Linked DNA regions of Arabidopsis thaliana. The protein of the gene in region 3 interacts with the protein of the main gene of each other region in a pairwise test. Each region holds a gene or a part of one and is shown on either strand. Other genes may lie near its edges.

Region 1 (4,501 bases), on a different chromosome or scaffold from region 3:
TCTGTAAACGGGACGCTTTATTGGTTCACAGAGCTATATAATGCTGAAATCAAAGTAATAGTTTTCGATATCATTACAGAAAAATTCCGGTTGCTGCCAAAGATAGTTCCCGCTATTGCTAGTTTAGATCCTAGCCATATATACACTCTGGATAATGCTTTGTGCATGTCGAAAAGAGAAGGAGATAAGCTGATCCAAAATATTTGGAGGCTGAAGAAATCATCAGAAGACACATGGGAGAAGATTTATACCATAGATTTTCTTTTAATTCTTACCAATTAGCCAAGTTTATCTGGTTCCATTATGTTTTTGTCTTTAACATCTTCAGTCGCCCACGGCACAAACCAAATCTTACTAAACTGAACCAAGCTCAGACATTTATAAAGAATATGAATTTTACATAGAGATTCATCTCTGTTCTGAAAAATTGATATATCAGAGCGTTTGCCTATGAATTGTGCATTTCTTAATATTTTGTTTAGCCTTTTCTCATGACAGACTCATGTGTGTTTTATCAATGAAAATCAACATTGCTCTCTTCTTGCAAACAACATATAAATGAAAAGCAAAGTAGAATTATTGAGAAACAATGGCATTTTGCTCAAAGGTTGCAACTATTGTTCCCCAAACACATGTTCTCATAGCTAAAATAAAACAGTTATCATCTTCCATACATGATTGAAATTGATGAAACTAAGTAAGAAAATTGCTGACTAAAACAGAACAAGGACTTAGATCTAGCTCTGTTCCACACAGATGCTTCCTTCTGCTTCGCAATCAAACCAAACCAGCGTAACCTGCTGTATCTAAAAGCACTGCTTTGATTTGTTCAGGTAACACGTCATGGTCTTCTTGACATTGCTGATTAGAAACACAAAACATGTTGTTACTTGTATACTAATCATTCTCTCAAATAACTATTCTTTGACTGCTAGTTTTACTAATCAGTGATCAGCATAGCATCTTAACAACTATATTACCTCAGCGCGGAAAACATCCAAAGCAAAACCATTGAAACAGCTAATCACCGCTTGTTGAACATCCAATCCTAAGTTATCCAAAGCTCTCATGGTGGAAAGTAAAAGACCTGGTCTACGTCCACAGAACATGTGTATGTTCACTGCCTTTCCTTCTCTTAATCTAACCTCAACCTATATCAAAACAAAGAAGCGTTACTAAGAAAATTAAAGAATACAGCTTTGTCCACTAGAAAGCAATTGAGCTTATTCTTACTCTTGGTTGTTGGCCTTTAGGACTTGGCAAGGAGGAAGATGGACACAACTCTTCCTTAACACGGTAAGACAGCGTTTGTGGAGTCGGTGTTAACGGATGCAAGCTTGAAGAACTCGGTGGAGTAGATTCAAGTTCGGTGTGAAGATCGTTGATTCTTTGTAAAAGCTCTTTGAGGTAATCAATAGCATCTCCAAGTATTGATGCTCTATCCATCTACATTTGCAACCCAAAATTAGTGACACAAGAAGTTATTAAGGAGAACAAAGAGAAAAAAGGAAGAATCTTTTTGGTTACTTTGCTGATCTTGGGAACAACTGATCTAAGCATGTAAAGCCTATCATTAAGCTTCTTCCTTCTTCTTCTCTCAGCCATAAGATTCTTTGCAGGCATTCCTTTCTTCTTACCTTTGTTGTTATTAGTATTATGGTCATCAGATTCGTAATTCAATCCAGAGATATCGATGATTCCGGTACTAGTATCGTCAATCTCTCTCTCGTAGCTCGATTTCCTCATTTCAGAAGAACTCTCAGAATTGCACATTTTGCTACTCGAGCTCTGACGCATTGCAGCTCGTTTCTGAAACAGAGTTGGCTGCGAGCCAGATGAAGCCATTACCTGTAACGGTTTTAAAACCTTTGCTCTGTTTGAGAACAGAGGACTCAATCCACATGATCCTGAGCTGTTTTCCGGAGCTGGAAGAAAATCCGGTACTGAGTGGTTTAAGCCAGTGAAATTCATCGAGTTCGGAGATTGATGATTTCCATGGAATTGTTGTCCTAAGAAACCAGAGTCAAAGCCGAAGTCATCGAAAGTGTTGTTATTGATGGTTGGGACGTTGAGAAGAGAAACTATACAAGCTTTCGTAGCTAAGAAAGACTGTTCCTGTTGTTGTTGTTGTTGTTGTTGTTGCTGTGAAGCAGCGTCGAGTGTGAAAGGATGTAATAACGGAGAAGAAGAAGAAGAAGAATCAATCGATTGCTGAAGAAGAAGAAGCAGATTCTCTGAGGGGTTTAAAGGAAAGCCACCATTGAATCTGAAGTCGTTTTGATTAGTGTGTTGTGGTGGTGGTGGGTTATTGAACCAGTCTTCATCTGGGTTTCTGACCCAAGACGCAGCTTCACCGTTATTAACTTCCGGAGATTCACCGGAGCCGTCAAGCCAAACACCGTCGCTGTTCATGTCAAACTAGTAGAGAGAGAGAGAGAGTGGGAAAAGTTTCGAATTTTGGAGAGAAGTAGAAATGGAACCTCAAAAGGAGACAAGGCGAGAGAAACGTAGATAATATAGAGAGAGATTTTTCTTGAAAGGAGGCGTACGTTATAAAGTGGAATCACGAGGATCTTATGAAGAAGAAAAAAGTGAGAAATCTGAAGAAGAAAGATAGAGAGATTTCAGAGCTCGAAAACCCTAAAAAGTTGAGATTTTTGGGGATTTCAATGTTGTCAAGGCCACCATTTATTTACTCTGTTTGGTTTCTTGGTCTATCTTGGTTTAAGAGTTGGTGTTGATTCTCGTGACTATTGTTTTTGCTTTCCGTCTCTCACCTCCACTTCATCTTTGCCACCTCTCTCTCATTTTTTTTTGTCTGCAGAATTATTTCAGTGATAGAGCTTAGGAAGATGATTTAGTTAAAGCTAAATCCGACCGTTAATAATCAAAATAAGTATACAGTTCAGTTTGGTTGAAAAACTTAATAATGTGGGATTTGGTTGGCAATCATAAAAATTGTCACCGTAAAATAAACAAATTTTGAAAAGAAAAATTGTAGTTTTTTTCTATATTTGAAGTATTTGGGACTAAAGAATTTTAATCTCTCAAAACTTTGTGATGTGTGTCATAGACTCATATTAATTGTAGCGGCAAACTTGTGTTTAGATTGTTACATAGATTGGCTATTAATCAAATTTTTTTTGACATGAATAACAAAAGTATATTGAATAAAAAAAAATCTTGCAACAAAGTATATTGAATAAACATTTCAAGATTAATACGGATAAAAGATGTCGGATGCAATGGTCCCTTTTTTTTAACAACGAGGCAATGGTCCCTTTAAGATAAAATCTATATTTCATCTTCCTTTTACATCCACACACAGAATGAAACTGATTTTTGTGTGGATTAACGAAAATACTCGTCCTCATTTTTTTGAAAAATCTGTATCATTTCATAAAGTAGTATGATTTTTGGTAAGTATAGTGTCATTTGGCGAAATAAGTATGGTTTATTATGATTTATGAATAACAGCATGCTATCGGATAATATAACAATCCAAACAATTAATGCTTTGTTTCTTACATTACATGCTTCCAAATACATCAAAGCATTTTATATATGAGAGATCAAACTCTGAAAATAAGAAGCATATCTTCTACACAAAGGAGGTTGGTAAATTAAACTGATAGATTTTATTTGGGGATCGTATTTGATCATATTGCGGGCATAGCGATGTGAGAGCAGAATCTTCTTGTCCTTGCATATCGCCACTGGTGTGGATGGCTCAACCAAATCTTTTCGTGTCCAATTAAATCCATCGCGGAACTCAGATAAAGAAGAAGAAGAACAAGAAAGCAAATCTATGGTATAAACCTTCTCCCATGAGTCTTCTGATGATTTTAACCTCCATATCTCTTGGACCAACGTATCCGATTCTCTTTTCGACATGCACAAACCATTATCCAAAGTGCACATGTCGATATGGTCAGGATCTGAACTAGCAATGGCCGGATTAATCTTAGGTAGCACACGAAACGTTTCAGTGTGAATATCGAGAGCTACCACTTTTATTTCGCCATTATATGGTTCCGTGAACCAATAAATAGACCCGTTTGTAGCTGCTGGTACTTGGTCAGGGAATATCCGATAGCTTGGAGTGCAAGTCAAGTACCTCCAAGCGTTTGCCCTAAAATCAAAAACCTCGCACTTTGTAACTCCCAGGTTTGGATTCGAGGCATCAGAATTATACAACCACACTAATTTGTAATCATTGGCCTTCACGAATGCTGTATAACAGACTACTGGTTTTATGTCAATCCAAGTGTCTTGAGTGGGGTATAACTTTTGCATCAAAATCTGAAACCTAGCCGGAGGAAGTTGTCGAAACCACCGAGTGGCCGGGTTAACTACATATATGGCTTGTGTTTTTAGGGAATGGATGCAGAAAAGTCCGTCACAGCTTTCAGAAGCATAGATCCGGTGTTGAAATCCTTGAGGGAAAGTGATAAGAGTGGAGGACAGAATAGAAGCCGATTCCAAACAGATTGTACTAAAA
Region 2 (5,722 bases), about 10 Mb from region 3:
TTACGACAGATTTCATCTTAAACACTCTGTTGCAATCAATCAAAGTTCACAACTTTAGAACAACGTTGATCAGAGCCAATACAATAACACTAGAAGTTTCGAAAGGCTGTTCAGAAACTAGGGTTTTTATGCAAGATGGATGGGTTCCGTTCACAATAGTTACGATTCGATTAAATTCAATTAGGGTTGCTAATCTATTTCACTGAAGTTCTTATAAAAATGATTTACACAAACCTGAAGTACGGTAAGAGGTAGATGAAGAAGTTTGCTCGCAGAGATTTCAGAGGAGAAAGCGTGCCGTTGAAGGTTTGTGTTTTTGGTTTTGATAAAGTCAGGTGGCGTGTAAGGTATATTTATAGGTAGGGTTTTATCTTAACGTTTACTGTTTGTCTTTTTCGCCAACTTCATTTTTCCATGTGTCAATAAAACATGTCTTACAATTTTTATTTTATAATTGTCGGTTTCTTACCCGAAATGTTTTTTTATAGGAAAATTTGTGTTAGGTAATTTTGCAATTTCATTTACAAAATATAGCACGCTCCTTTTGAGATGGGCTAAAATCGTTCCAAAGTTTGGGCTTACACGCCTAACCATTGGCCCACTCCAGTTTACTTCTATCTTTCACCAAACTAAGAAACATTGATCCTTGAACAAAAAGTAGTATATGTTTATATGATGACAAAAAAAAAAGAGTAGGAAATCTATGATTCTATAGGAGTGTAAATGAATAAGCTGTGATAAATTTAGGTTATTTTTCTTAACGATATATATTGTTAGATCAAATTTTATAGTTACATCATTTGGAGTATAATGTAAATATGTTCCGCTTTATAATAATGTAAATATGATTTGTAATACTAATGAGAACACACGCTCATTGTCTTCCAGTTCAAGAAATATCTTAAACCCCACTTTTTATCAGCCACCTGAATTTGAGTCTTCCTCTGCCACATAATAAATTGTTTACATGGACCAATTCTTGGTTACAAAACATCTGATATCATATCGTGCAATTAAGAAGGTATTAAATGATGTTTTTTTCTGTGGCATTTGTATATACTTTCAAGTTTCGACCAATTCTATAAGTTAAGAAAAAGGCATTGAGGGAAATTTAGGTTAGAAAAAGTACACAACGATCCCAGCAATGGGAAGTAGCTATCACTTTCAGTGACCCTATTTCTCTGAGTGGGCAATAACATTGTAGGCCCCATTCTGTGGAAAATCCACTAACTTCAATGTCTGCTCTCATTTTCTATTGTCTCCTTCGCTGTTTTTTTACAATTTACGTTACCACCAAAACTATTCCTTTGTTTAATGACGAAAACGCCACTCTTTCTAAGCAAAATGTCAGAGAATTTTGTTTCTTTGTTGGAGAGTTGAAAATATTTTTTACATAGAAAAAGAAACCAATAATGCAGTCAAATAATAATAGGAAGCAAATAATAATGCAAGTATCTCTAATTCTCTATATCAAATTGTATTCAATCATATTCACCAGATGTAACCTCTATAATGGAACCTTTTTGAATATTAAAATATCATTAGATCCTATTCTTACAATGTATCAATCAATTACTAATTAATTTTCTCTGGTTTTCTTGATATAACAATAACGTTAAAAAATCTCATTGTTAATCTCTTTATGCCATCATTAGTATTGTAAGATTTTGTACACTTTAAATTGTAAATTTGATCTTACAGAAACAAAAGATCTACAAATCTTAGTTACAGAAGATAATGGTATTAAACTATACAAATCTTAGTAGTTTAATATTATTAATAATCAAAATTATTCTAAATTAGAACTTTTACAAAATAAACATTTATCAGTCGCTTTCATAAATGTCAAACAATAAAAAAAGAAAAAGAATCAAAGATCTAAAGAGTGGCATTTTTATGACGTCACATTGAAATCCAACCGTGTAAATTCTTTTTTTTTCAATATAAGCAAATTAATTCACACGTTTTGTGCGCTGTCTTCGAAACTAAATCATTTATAAAAAAGACAAAACAGACAAGAAAATACAAACTGTCAAAAGAAGATTTTATATTGGTTGATTTGAAATCTCTCAGCAAAGAAGAAGAAGAAAGATTAAAAAAAAACAATCCTTTATTATTTTTCATTTCAACTCCAATTTTGATTATCTGGGTTTCGAATATTCCTCATTTTCTCCAATCACAGGACGAAAAGTAATCATCTTTTTGTCTTTTCTTCTCCGGCGAGAGACTACAATGGACTCTCCGGTATCAAAAACCGATGCATCGAAAGAGAAATTCGTGGCTTCACGACCATCAACGGCTGATTCAAAGACGATGAGAGGTTGTGGACTCGCGAATCTGGCATGGGTTGGTGTAGATAAAGTAGAGCTTCGTCAGAGGTTGATGATGCCTGAGTATCTTCGTCTCGCTATGCGTGACTGTATCAAACGCAAAGATTCCTCGGCTATTCCTGATCATTTACTTCTTCCTGGTGGTGCTGTTGCTGATATGGCTCCTCATGCTCCTATGGTTGTTTTCATTAACCCCAATTCTGGTGGTCGTCATGGTCCTGTTCTTAAAGAGAGGCTTCAACAGTTGATGAGCGAGGAACAGGTTTTGCTCTCACTGAACTTGTATTTCAAATCTTTTTCTTTGGGTTTTTGGGGGAATTTCGAATCTAATTTGTATCTACTTTGTGTTTTGATTATGTTAGTTTGGAAACTTTCTTAAAGTCTCTGGCTTTTAAGTTTTTAATGCTTGATTTATATGTTTATGCTTAGCTGATGTTAGATCTAGTGTTTTGTTGGAACTTTGAAGGATGAGTTACGTTTAAAGATTGAGTCTTTTGGAAAGCTGAGTGATGTTGATGTTGTCAAGTTATTGGTTTGAGCTTTTGATATTGAAACTTCATGGTGACTTTTGTGTTGATACAGGTGTTTGACCTCACGGAAGTGAAGCCGCATGAGTTTGTTCGATACGGGTTGGGGTGTTTGGAGAAAGTGGCAGCGGAAGGAGATGAATGTGCAAAAGAATGCAGAGCAAGGTTGAGGATTATGGTGAGTGTATTGACCATATTTTTCTCCAATCTCTATAGATCCACTTGAATGTTTTTAGCAATCAGAATTGTGAATGGAATTGGTTGGATAGGTTGCAGGAGGTGATGGTACTGTTGGTTGGGTTCTTGGATGTCTTGGAGAGCTTAATAAAGATGGAAAGTCGCAAATTCCTCCTGTTGGAGTTATTCCTCTCGGTACAGGGAATGATCTTTCAAGGAGTTTTGGTTGGGTGAGTTGTGTTTTCTTTGTTCTCTCTTATGTTGTCGTGACAAAACTTTTGAATTGGTACTGACTATGGTATCTCTTCTTCAGGGTGGTTCGTTTCCTTTTGCGTGGAGATCTGCTGTTAAAAGAACACTCCATCGCGCAAGTATGGGTCCAGTTGCTAGACTTGACAGGTAAAAGTCTTATTTTGCTCAAAACATTTAGCTTTTATTGTATTTCTCTTGTTGTAAAAATGTATGCGCTTTGGTTATGTGGTGTTGCAGCTGGAAGATTTTAGTGTCAATGCCATCTGGAGAAGTCGTAGATCCTCCTTATTCTTTAAAACCCGCTGAAGAAAACGAACTTGATCAGGTTTTGCTCTATTTCATTAGGCTTGCTTCTTCTCATTGAATCATCAGCATGTGATTTTGTAAATTGCCACGGTTTAGTAATTAACCAGGCTTTATGGTGGTTTCAGGGTTTGGACGCGGGAATTGATGCGCCTCCACTTGCAAAGGCTTATGAAGGTGTTTTCTACAATTACTTAAGCATAGGTTTGTTGAACTTCTCTTTTTGATATCCTAAACAATTTTCACAATTGTTTTTCTGACCAGATTCTTGTGTTTGTCTGGTTTGTTTAGGTATGGATGCTCAAGTTGCATATGGCTTCCACCATCTTCGCAACACTAAACCATATCTTGCTCAAGGCCCTATTTCAAATAAGGTTTGTTTATTATATTTGCACCTAAACTTTGGACTCATTATTTGTCTTTGTTAAAAGCTAAAGTAGTTATGTTGGTTTTGAGAAACGACATTACCAACCACACAATGTTTGCTTTTGCAGATTATATATTCAAGTTTTGGTTGCAGTCAGGGTTGGTTTTGCACGCCTTGTGTCAACGATCCAGGTTTAAGGTTCGCCATTTCGACTCTTATTGTGTAGTTGAACTTGTGTGTAAGTCTCTGCTTAAGCCCTTTGTTGTGTTGTTGACCCCTTGTTTGTGCTATATGAATTTGCAGGGGACTTAGGAACATAATGAAAATTCACATCAAAAAGGTTAACTGCTCTCAGTGGGAAGAGATCGCAGTCCCGAAAAAGTAAAAAACAGTTTTCGATATATGATTTATGTATTACAATCTTTGATATCAATGCTTAAAACCTGATGCTATGGATTTCTCTTGTAGTGTGAGATCAATTGTCGCATTGAATCTTCACAGCTATGGAAGTGGAAGCCATCCTTGGGGCAATCTAAAACCGGACTATCTAGAGAAGGTATTGTTTCTGTTCCATTTCATCATATATGAACTCAGTTCTCTGATGTTAACCCGAATGTTTTCTTTGGTTTTTCTCAGAGAGGCTTTGTGGAAGCACATTGTGATGATGGTTTGATAGAGATTTTCGGTTTTAAGCAAGGATGGCACGCGTCATTTGTCATGGCTGAGCTCATCTCTGCCAAGCACATAGCTCAGGTAACTTCAAAAGACACTGGTCAATGTATAATCTTTTTAGCCATGTGTTTGACTGTTTCATTTTGGTGATCATTTCAGGCTGCTGCGGTAAGATTTGAGCTAAGAGGAGGTGACTGGAGAGACGCATTCTTGCAAATGGATGGTGAGCCATGGAAGCAACCAATGAGCACTGAGTACTCAACATTTGTGGAGATCAAGAAGGTTCCTTATCAATCTCTGATGATAAATAATGAATGATTGAGATTCAAAGCTGGATTCTTTGTACAAAGCTAATTGTTTTGTATTTGGATTTGATTCAGTTAGTCATAGATATAGCCTAAGCTTTTTAGTCTTCTTTTCTTTTAAATCTGAGATTGTGACCATTTTTCTCTTTTTAATTTCTGCTTATTGTTGGTTTTGTACATTTTTGTGTTGTGAGGAATGAAGTTTGTTTATTTATAAGAATGTGGGAAGATAATATTTGGTCAAATTTCAATCTCTCTTCAATCTTTGTAATTCTAGCATTGAGCACATAGATGTGATTCTTTGTCATATTTTTATTTATTTTAACACTAGTTCGACTGAGAACCAATTTATCATCGACACCAATTTCTAAGTAAGAATATTTTTAATAATTATCATTATTAGTCGTATATTTTTACCAGAATAATAAAAAATTAAAAACCTAAGTTAATAAACCACACAAAAAAGTTTTTCTCTCTTCGCTCTCTCGTAGTTTGTAAAGATAGAAACTGAAATTTCTTTTGTTTTTGTTAACCGGATAGTTTTCCGGTGAGTCGCCGTCCCGTTTAATTCGGGCTTTCGTCCGACATCTTCTAGCTACGTTAGTGGAGATGGTTGGCTTTTTGTATGGCATCGTTGGCTAACTTAGCGACGTTGGCCAGCTTCCGTACGGCAGCGTTGGGCTTACACTAACAGCGTTGGTCATCTTTGTTTTTGTTTTGTTACTTCAAAGGTTTGATGATGAAGCTTTATGGCATGCAGAATCGTCAGATCTGAAGAGGGTTTCTCTT
Region 3 (5,249 bases):
ATCTTACAGATAGGAAGGAGAGAGAGCTCACAGATAGAAAGTGCAGAGATTCCAAGAGGAAGAAAAGCAAAAAGAGAAAGGTGCTTACATAACAACTGCATCGAGTTTAGTTTGAACATCTTCTATAATTCTGTTGGCTTGAAGCTTTTAGCTTACATTGTGTTTATTGATTTGCAGCATTCGAAAAGGCGATCATCAGACTCAAGCTCATCTTCTGAATCTTCAAGTAGTGACAAAGACGAATCTAGGAAGTCAAGGTCAAGTTCTAAGAGGCCAAAGAGGGAGAGGAAACACAAGTCTAGAGGCAGACACTCAAAACCAAAGTAAAGATGAGGCTGATGGTCCTGCACCACAATCAAAATTCTTTGGCAGTCTTAAGAGTTGACACAGTGCAAGACTTGAGATTGTGTTCATCAAATGCTCAATTTTCACCCCGAGGACATGATTTGTACTATCCTCATCTCCCTGCAATATTTCTCTCCCTGCTGTTTTATAAAACAAGAAAGCTGACAGTAATGGCAAGTATTTTGTAGAGGAATTGAAGGTGGGCTATCATAACATAACTATTTCTGAGACAATTTAAGTCTTAAATAACTGCAACAACAAAATGAGGGCAAATTACAAATACGAATAGGAAAAAAAAAAACAGAGAGAACAAATTATCCAAAAGACTGAAATATAAAGTTTGAGACCCATCCCCTTCAACATCTCTCACAAGTATACACAAAAGACAAACAATGATCTTTCCTCCTTTTAAGAATGTTGTCCAAACCAAATAACGCCAAACCCTTATCTCATCTTCATCTCCCAAATGCTGTTCTTCAAACTATTGCTGATATTCTGGATTGAAAGCAAGCGCCTCGCGGTAGATTAGTTCCTTCATCTGCTCCTCTGAGAGTGCATGGTTTTCAAAATCAAAGTTGAAAGGTATTGTACACTCTGGCTCATCGCTTATGTCGTGCAACGAGTTCAGGTATGGATGGGCCAATGCGTCTAAAACTGAATCAAGAATCGAGAATCAAGAATCAATAAGAGGTGATGACTACTAACTAACTCTTAAATAACCAAGAACTCATTATTATTATTCCTTCACTAGATTGAATCTTTTTTCGGGATTTTGGAATGATCCGTACAAGCAATTCCAGTTATTTTGCAAGTTAAAAATGGTATAGAGGTTAGGGACTAACCTGTGATTCTCCGTCTAGGATCAAATGTTAACATCTTCTCGATAAGGTCTATAGCTAAAGGATGCACTGTCGGGAACTTATCAGTGATGGATTGGCGAGGATAAGGTGGAAGCTGTCTTATGTATCGCTTTGCGTTTTCGTTCAAGAACTCGAGCTCTTCTTCTGATGGAGTTCCTATGAGCTGCAAAAAGAAAATGGTCTCGGTCTGTTTCTTTAGTGCTTCAAAGCTTATTTTTGGGTCAAAGAAGGGTTACTACTTACCTCCATGAGCAAGCGAAGCTGATGGACATGATCTCGTCCAGGGAAGAGTGGCTTACGGTCCATTAACTCCATGAAAATACAGCCTACAGACCAAACATCGATAGCTGCAGTATAATCAGAAGAGTTTAAGAGAAGCTCTGGTGCACGGTACCATCTCGTGACAACATATTCAGTCATGAAATCACTCTCAGAAGTGACTCGAGCTAGCCCAAAATCGCAGATTTTTAGGTCGCAGTTTGCGTTCAGGAGGAGATTACTTGGTTTCAAATCCCTGTGAAGCACATTTGCAGAGTGAATGTATTTCAATCCACGGAGGATCTGGTAAAGAAAATACTGCACAAAGAGACAAGTGAAATGGAGTTCAATTAGTCCCCGTTTTCAAGTCGAGTTATATAGGTCAACAAACAATCTCAAAACTCAAAACCTGGCAATGTTCTTCGGATAATGCTTGATTTGACCGAATGATTTGATGGAGATCAGTGTCCATTAACTCATACGCGATGTAAACATCGTTGAAAGCGTTTCTTAATGGTGGCGGGATAATATCTCTGATTGCAACAATCTGATTTAACAGAAAGATGGTAAGTGTTTTATCAATCGGAAATGTTTTACACGTTGCAAACGCCAACATAGATAAACGGTTACATTTTACGATTTGATTTCTAGAATTTAAAATCTTGACGCAGATGGAAAAGATCATACTACTGAATAAGCGCGAAACAATCCGTATCAAACCGAAAAAAATACAAGCACACTGTGTCAACATTCATGTATATTCCCTTAAATCTAAATGCAATAAGCAACCACCAGATACAACACATTCATACACAGAACCTAATCAGCCCATACAATATCAATCAAATATATACATCATCTATTTACCTAAACAATTTTGCATCAGCTAGTAGTTACCATGTTTCGAGTGTATTTAAATCTACAATCCTATTATGTTCTACATAAGACTCTATAAACAGATGACTCTTAGTTAACAAAGAAAGAGCAAAAACTGACATTTTCATGATCCATGTGACGAAGCAGCTTGATCTCACGGAGAGTCCTCTTAGCATCAATCTTATTGTCAAAAGCGTTAGCAATTTTCTTAATCGCAACGCTCTCGTTAGTTTCAGAATTCATAGCCGAACTGCAAAATCAAAATCAAATAAAACCACAAAAGGATAAAGCTTTCATTGAAACAAAAATAAATCCCAATCATAATTAGAGCTCAAAAACGATACAAAGGAATCAATTTTACAAATTGCGGATCAAAAGTAACCAACTTTACCAAAACCCAATCAACAAAAATCATTTTTTATTTCAATTAGAAGCAAAAGCCAAAAATCAAAAGAATCGGAGAAAAATTACCAAACGATGCCATAAGCACCCTTGCCAATAGGCATGATCGGAGGCTTATACTTAGCGGTGACCTCGAAGATGTTTCCAAATATGTTATACTGAATAAACCTACCACCATGGCTAAGAGTCGCCGGAATATTCTCAATCCCAGGCATCTGAGGCGATGGAGCCGCCGCGGGAAAACCTCCAGGAGCTTCTGTCATCTCTGTATCAGCCGCCGGTTGACCTGAACCACCGTCCATGACCGGTAAAGATGAAAGCTTTTGAGGTTGGTGGTGGTGGTGGATCGAGAAGAGGGAAATGGAAAATCTTTTTTTTTTTTTTTTTTTGTAATTTTGGGGTGAGTGAATTATGAATGAAATTGGAGAAATTGATATTCGTTGGTTTTGGGGTCAAAACAGATCTGAGAGACAAGAAGTGAAAGTCATGTGCGTACGGATCTATTAATTTTTTTATTTTTTTTTGGGTCTTCACTTGACCCGTGTGTGTAAGCAAGCAAGCAAGCCACTGTTCAAAGTTTGATCCTTTATTCTCATGTTTAACACTGTTATGGTTACAAACGGCATCGTTTTACATTGACTTATCACCATTTTTTTTTTTGTTCCATTGACTTCCTTCCTTAATCGTTATCATTAACAAGTAACAACAGCATTTTTTTGAATGTAAATGTTGGGTGAAAATGAATCATAGATAAATGTAGTTATTATCATTGATATTATGTTTTTGGGTTGTACTTTAATTTTGAGATTATTTTTGTAACATGAAAAATCGCTAAATTTTATGTAGATTGAAAAACACAAAAACTTATAAACCGCCAAAAGTTATTAGATAGTATCTAAATTAACTATTTAAGTATTTAAAGTTCTCTATCAAGAATTTCGATGAACTTGATAGTCGTATAGTGTGAATGAGGCCACAACATGAAACATGCTTGGTTGAGGGTTATTTGGATTTTTAAAAAGTATGGTGGTTCAATTTGATAATATTCCAAAATTACAAGGATCATCTCAATATTTTTTACATAATGAAGCAATAAATCTCTTCTCTTGTGTTATACAGTTGGGTTCGAACTCGAGACGGCTTGCTTTCTGCCTCTATCCCTCTTTCACACGAGAGCTCTTACTGGGTTTAGGGTTTTCGATAGATTGGTAAGTGGCCACGACACTAAGCGTCACCGAACCAGTTGTCAACTAAATAGGGAAACTTTAGGCTTCTGTCGCATTTAGGCACGATTCTCTGTAGAAGAAAAAAATATCAGCTTTGTTGTATCTTTCGGATTTTCGAGTGATCATCAAACCTTCATCACCAGGTTCCTTTCGATTCCATTTTAATTTTGTGGACTTTGGAGTAATTTGCTTAAAGAACCAATTTTTGATTGATATTTTCTGCTCTCCTTTCATTTTGACATTTTGATCTGGTTTTGAGAACTTTGGTTGAGTAACAGTAGCCTGCGTTTAAAAGATGTTAGCTTTGGATGTATAGATGTAGAGTTAGGTTTCTAATTGCCTTTATTTTTGCTTTGGTTGATGATTTATGGTTGATTGACTCGTTAAAGGGAAGTGCGCTGATTTTGTGGACAATTATGTTAGACTGATGGGCATGAATGTGACCAATTGATTTTCTCTCCGTTTCCATTATGATGCAGAAGAAAGTTCTATTTTGCTGAAATGTTTTGCAACTTTCAGTTGTTCATTCATACCATGATTGTACTCATCTTTGATCTCGTTGTGAGTACTATCACTTACTCTTGGCGTAGTAGTTCTTAGGATGAGGTATAAGTATAACAATTCGAAAATTCGTCGTATTCAATCTGTGTAATCTGTTTTTCACTATATGAACAATATGTCAATGTCCTGCGATGCCTCAGGGCTTCTGGAGTCACTTCTGCAATGTTAAAAAGAGTAATCAAAAGTTGTTATATCATGCTTCAGAGTTCTCTCTTGTTATTCCTCATCTTAGTATTTATGAAACTGTGATATTGAAGATATAACATAATCTAATACTTCTGATACTTGGGTCTCTTCTGTAACATGTGACACATTGGATCTTGCAGGTTAAAGACTTTGAAGTAATGGCGGGATTTCCAGGTTTTAGTTACCTAGGCCCAAAAGGCAAGAACACGGTTGTAGCTGGTGGCTTGACAGCTTTTGTTTTTGGGGTATACTTCTACACAATGAGGGCGGTTGGTGGCACAGACGAGCTTCAAGTGGCTATAGACAAGTTCGAAGGCCAAAAACAGGTGGACACTGACACCAAGGTTCCATCTAAGGTCTAATCCTCACTGGCTTGATATGTCCAACCAAACCCGTTATTTATCTTTGCTTTCCAAGCTTCTTTTGTCACGAAAGTGGCTCGTTTCTGACATCGAGTGGCATCTGTGTTTGAGTCTCAGTCCAATCTATAATACATTGATTAAACAAGAGAATGTATGATCAGGACATGGTTTTG

Evidence for each region. Proteins that work in one complex are often made in the same cells at the same time.
Region 1: the proteins of MPK6 (region 3) and SCRM2 interact in binary tests that used the Arabidopsis thaliana proteins (3 or more experiments, as listed by UniProt).
Region 2: the proteins of MPK6 (region 3) and DGK3 interact in binary tests that used the Arabidopsis thaliana proteins (3 or more experiments, as listed by UniProt).

Annotation. Positions count from the first base shown.
Region 1 is NC_003070.9:4,382,669-4,387,169, reverse strand, and holds SCRM2 (basic helix-loop-helix (bHLH) DNA-binding superfamily protein), read right to left. Parts: upstream 2,867-4,501; 5' UTR 2,413-2,866; coding exon 1,528-2,412; coding exon of another isoform or gene 1,447-1,527; coding exon 1,234-1,446; intron 1,152-1,233; coding exon 981-1,151; coding exon of another isoform or gene 972-980; exon of another isoform or gene 862-971; coding exon 778-861; 3' UTR 519-777; downstream 1-518. Other genes in the region: AT1G12870 (F-box and associated interaction domains-containing protein), read left to right, coding at 1-41; AT1G12855 (F-box family protein), read right to left, coding at 3,559-4,501. UniProt on the Arabidopsis thaliana protein: Mediates stomatal differentiation in the epidermis probably by controlling successive roles of SPCH, MUTE, and FAMA. Functions as a dimer with SPCH during stomatal initiation.
Region 2 is NC_003071.7:8,116,744-8,122,465, forward strand, and holds DGK3 (diacylglycerol kinase 3), read left to right. Parts: upstream 1-1,992; 5' UTR 1,993-2,232; coding exon 2,233-2,592; intron 2,593-2,912; coding exon 2,913-3,035; intron 3,036-3,126; coding exon 3,127-3,264; intron 3,265-3,347; coding exon 3,348-3,433; intron 3,434-3,523; coding exon 3,524-3,611; intron 3,612-3,717; coding exon 3,718-3,793; intron 3,794-3,880; coding exon 3,881-3,963; intron 3,964-4,083; coding exon 4,084-4,154; intron 4,155-4,259; coding exon 4,260-4,337; intron 4,338-4,424; coding exon 4,425-4,512; intron 4,513-4,592; coding exon 4,593-4,709; intron 4,710-4,787; coding exon 4,788-4,946; 3' UTR 4,947-5,204; downstream 5,205-5,722. Other genes in the region: AT2G18720 (Translation elongation factor EF1A/initiation factor IF2gamma family protein), read right to left, coding at 1-16; AT2G18721 (uncharacterized protein), read left to right, coding at 256-363.
Region 3 is NC_003071.7:18,136,271-18,141,519, reverse strand, and holds MPK6 (MAP kinase 6), read right to left. Parts: upstream 3,275-5,249; 5' UTR 3,044-3,274; coding exon 2,811-3,043; exon of another isoform or gene 2,590-2,810; coding exon 2,460-2,589; intron 2,011-2,459; coding exon 1,873-2,010; intron 1,782-1,872; coding exon 1,449-1,781; intron 1,369-1,448; coding exon 1,188-1,368; intron 1,000-1,187; coding exon 827-999; 3' UTR 532-826; downstream 1-531. Other genes in the region: AT2G43795 (corepressor), read left to right, coding at 14-80, 178-385; AT2G43780 (cytochrome oxidase assembly protein), read left to right, coding at 4,469-4,528, 4,855-5,076. UniProt on the Arabidopsis thaliana protein: Mitogen-activated protein kinase (MAPK) which regulates abscisic acid (ABA) responses in a MAPKKK20-MKK5-MPK6 cascade involved in root growth (e.g. root cell division and elongation) and stomatal response.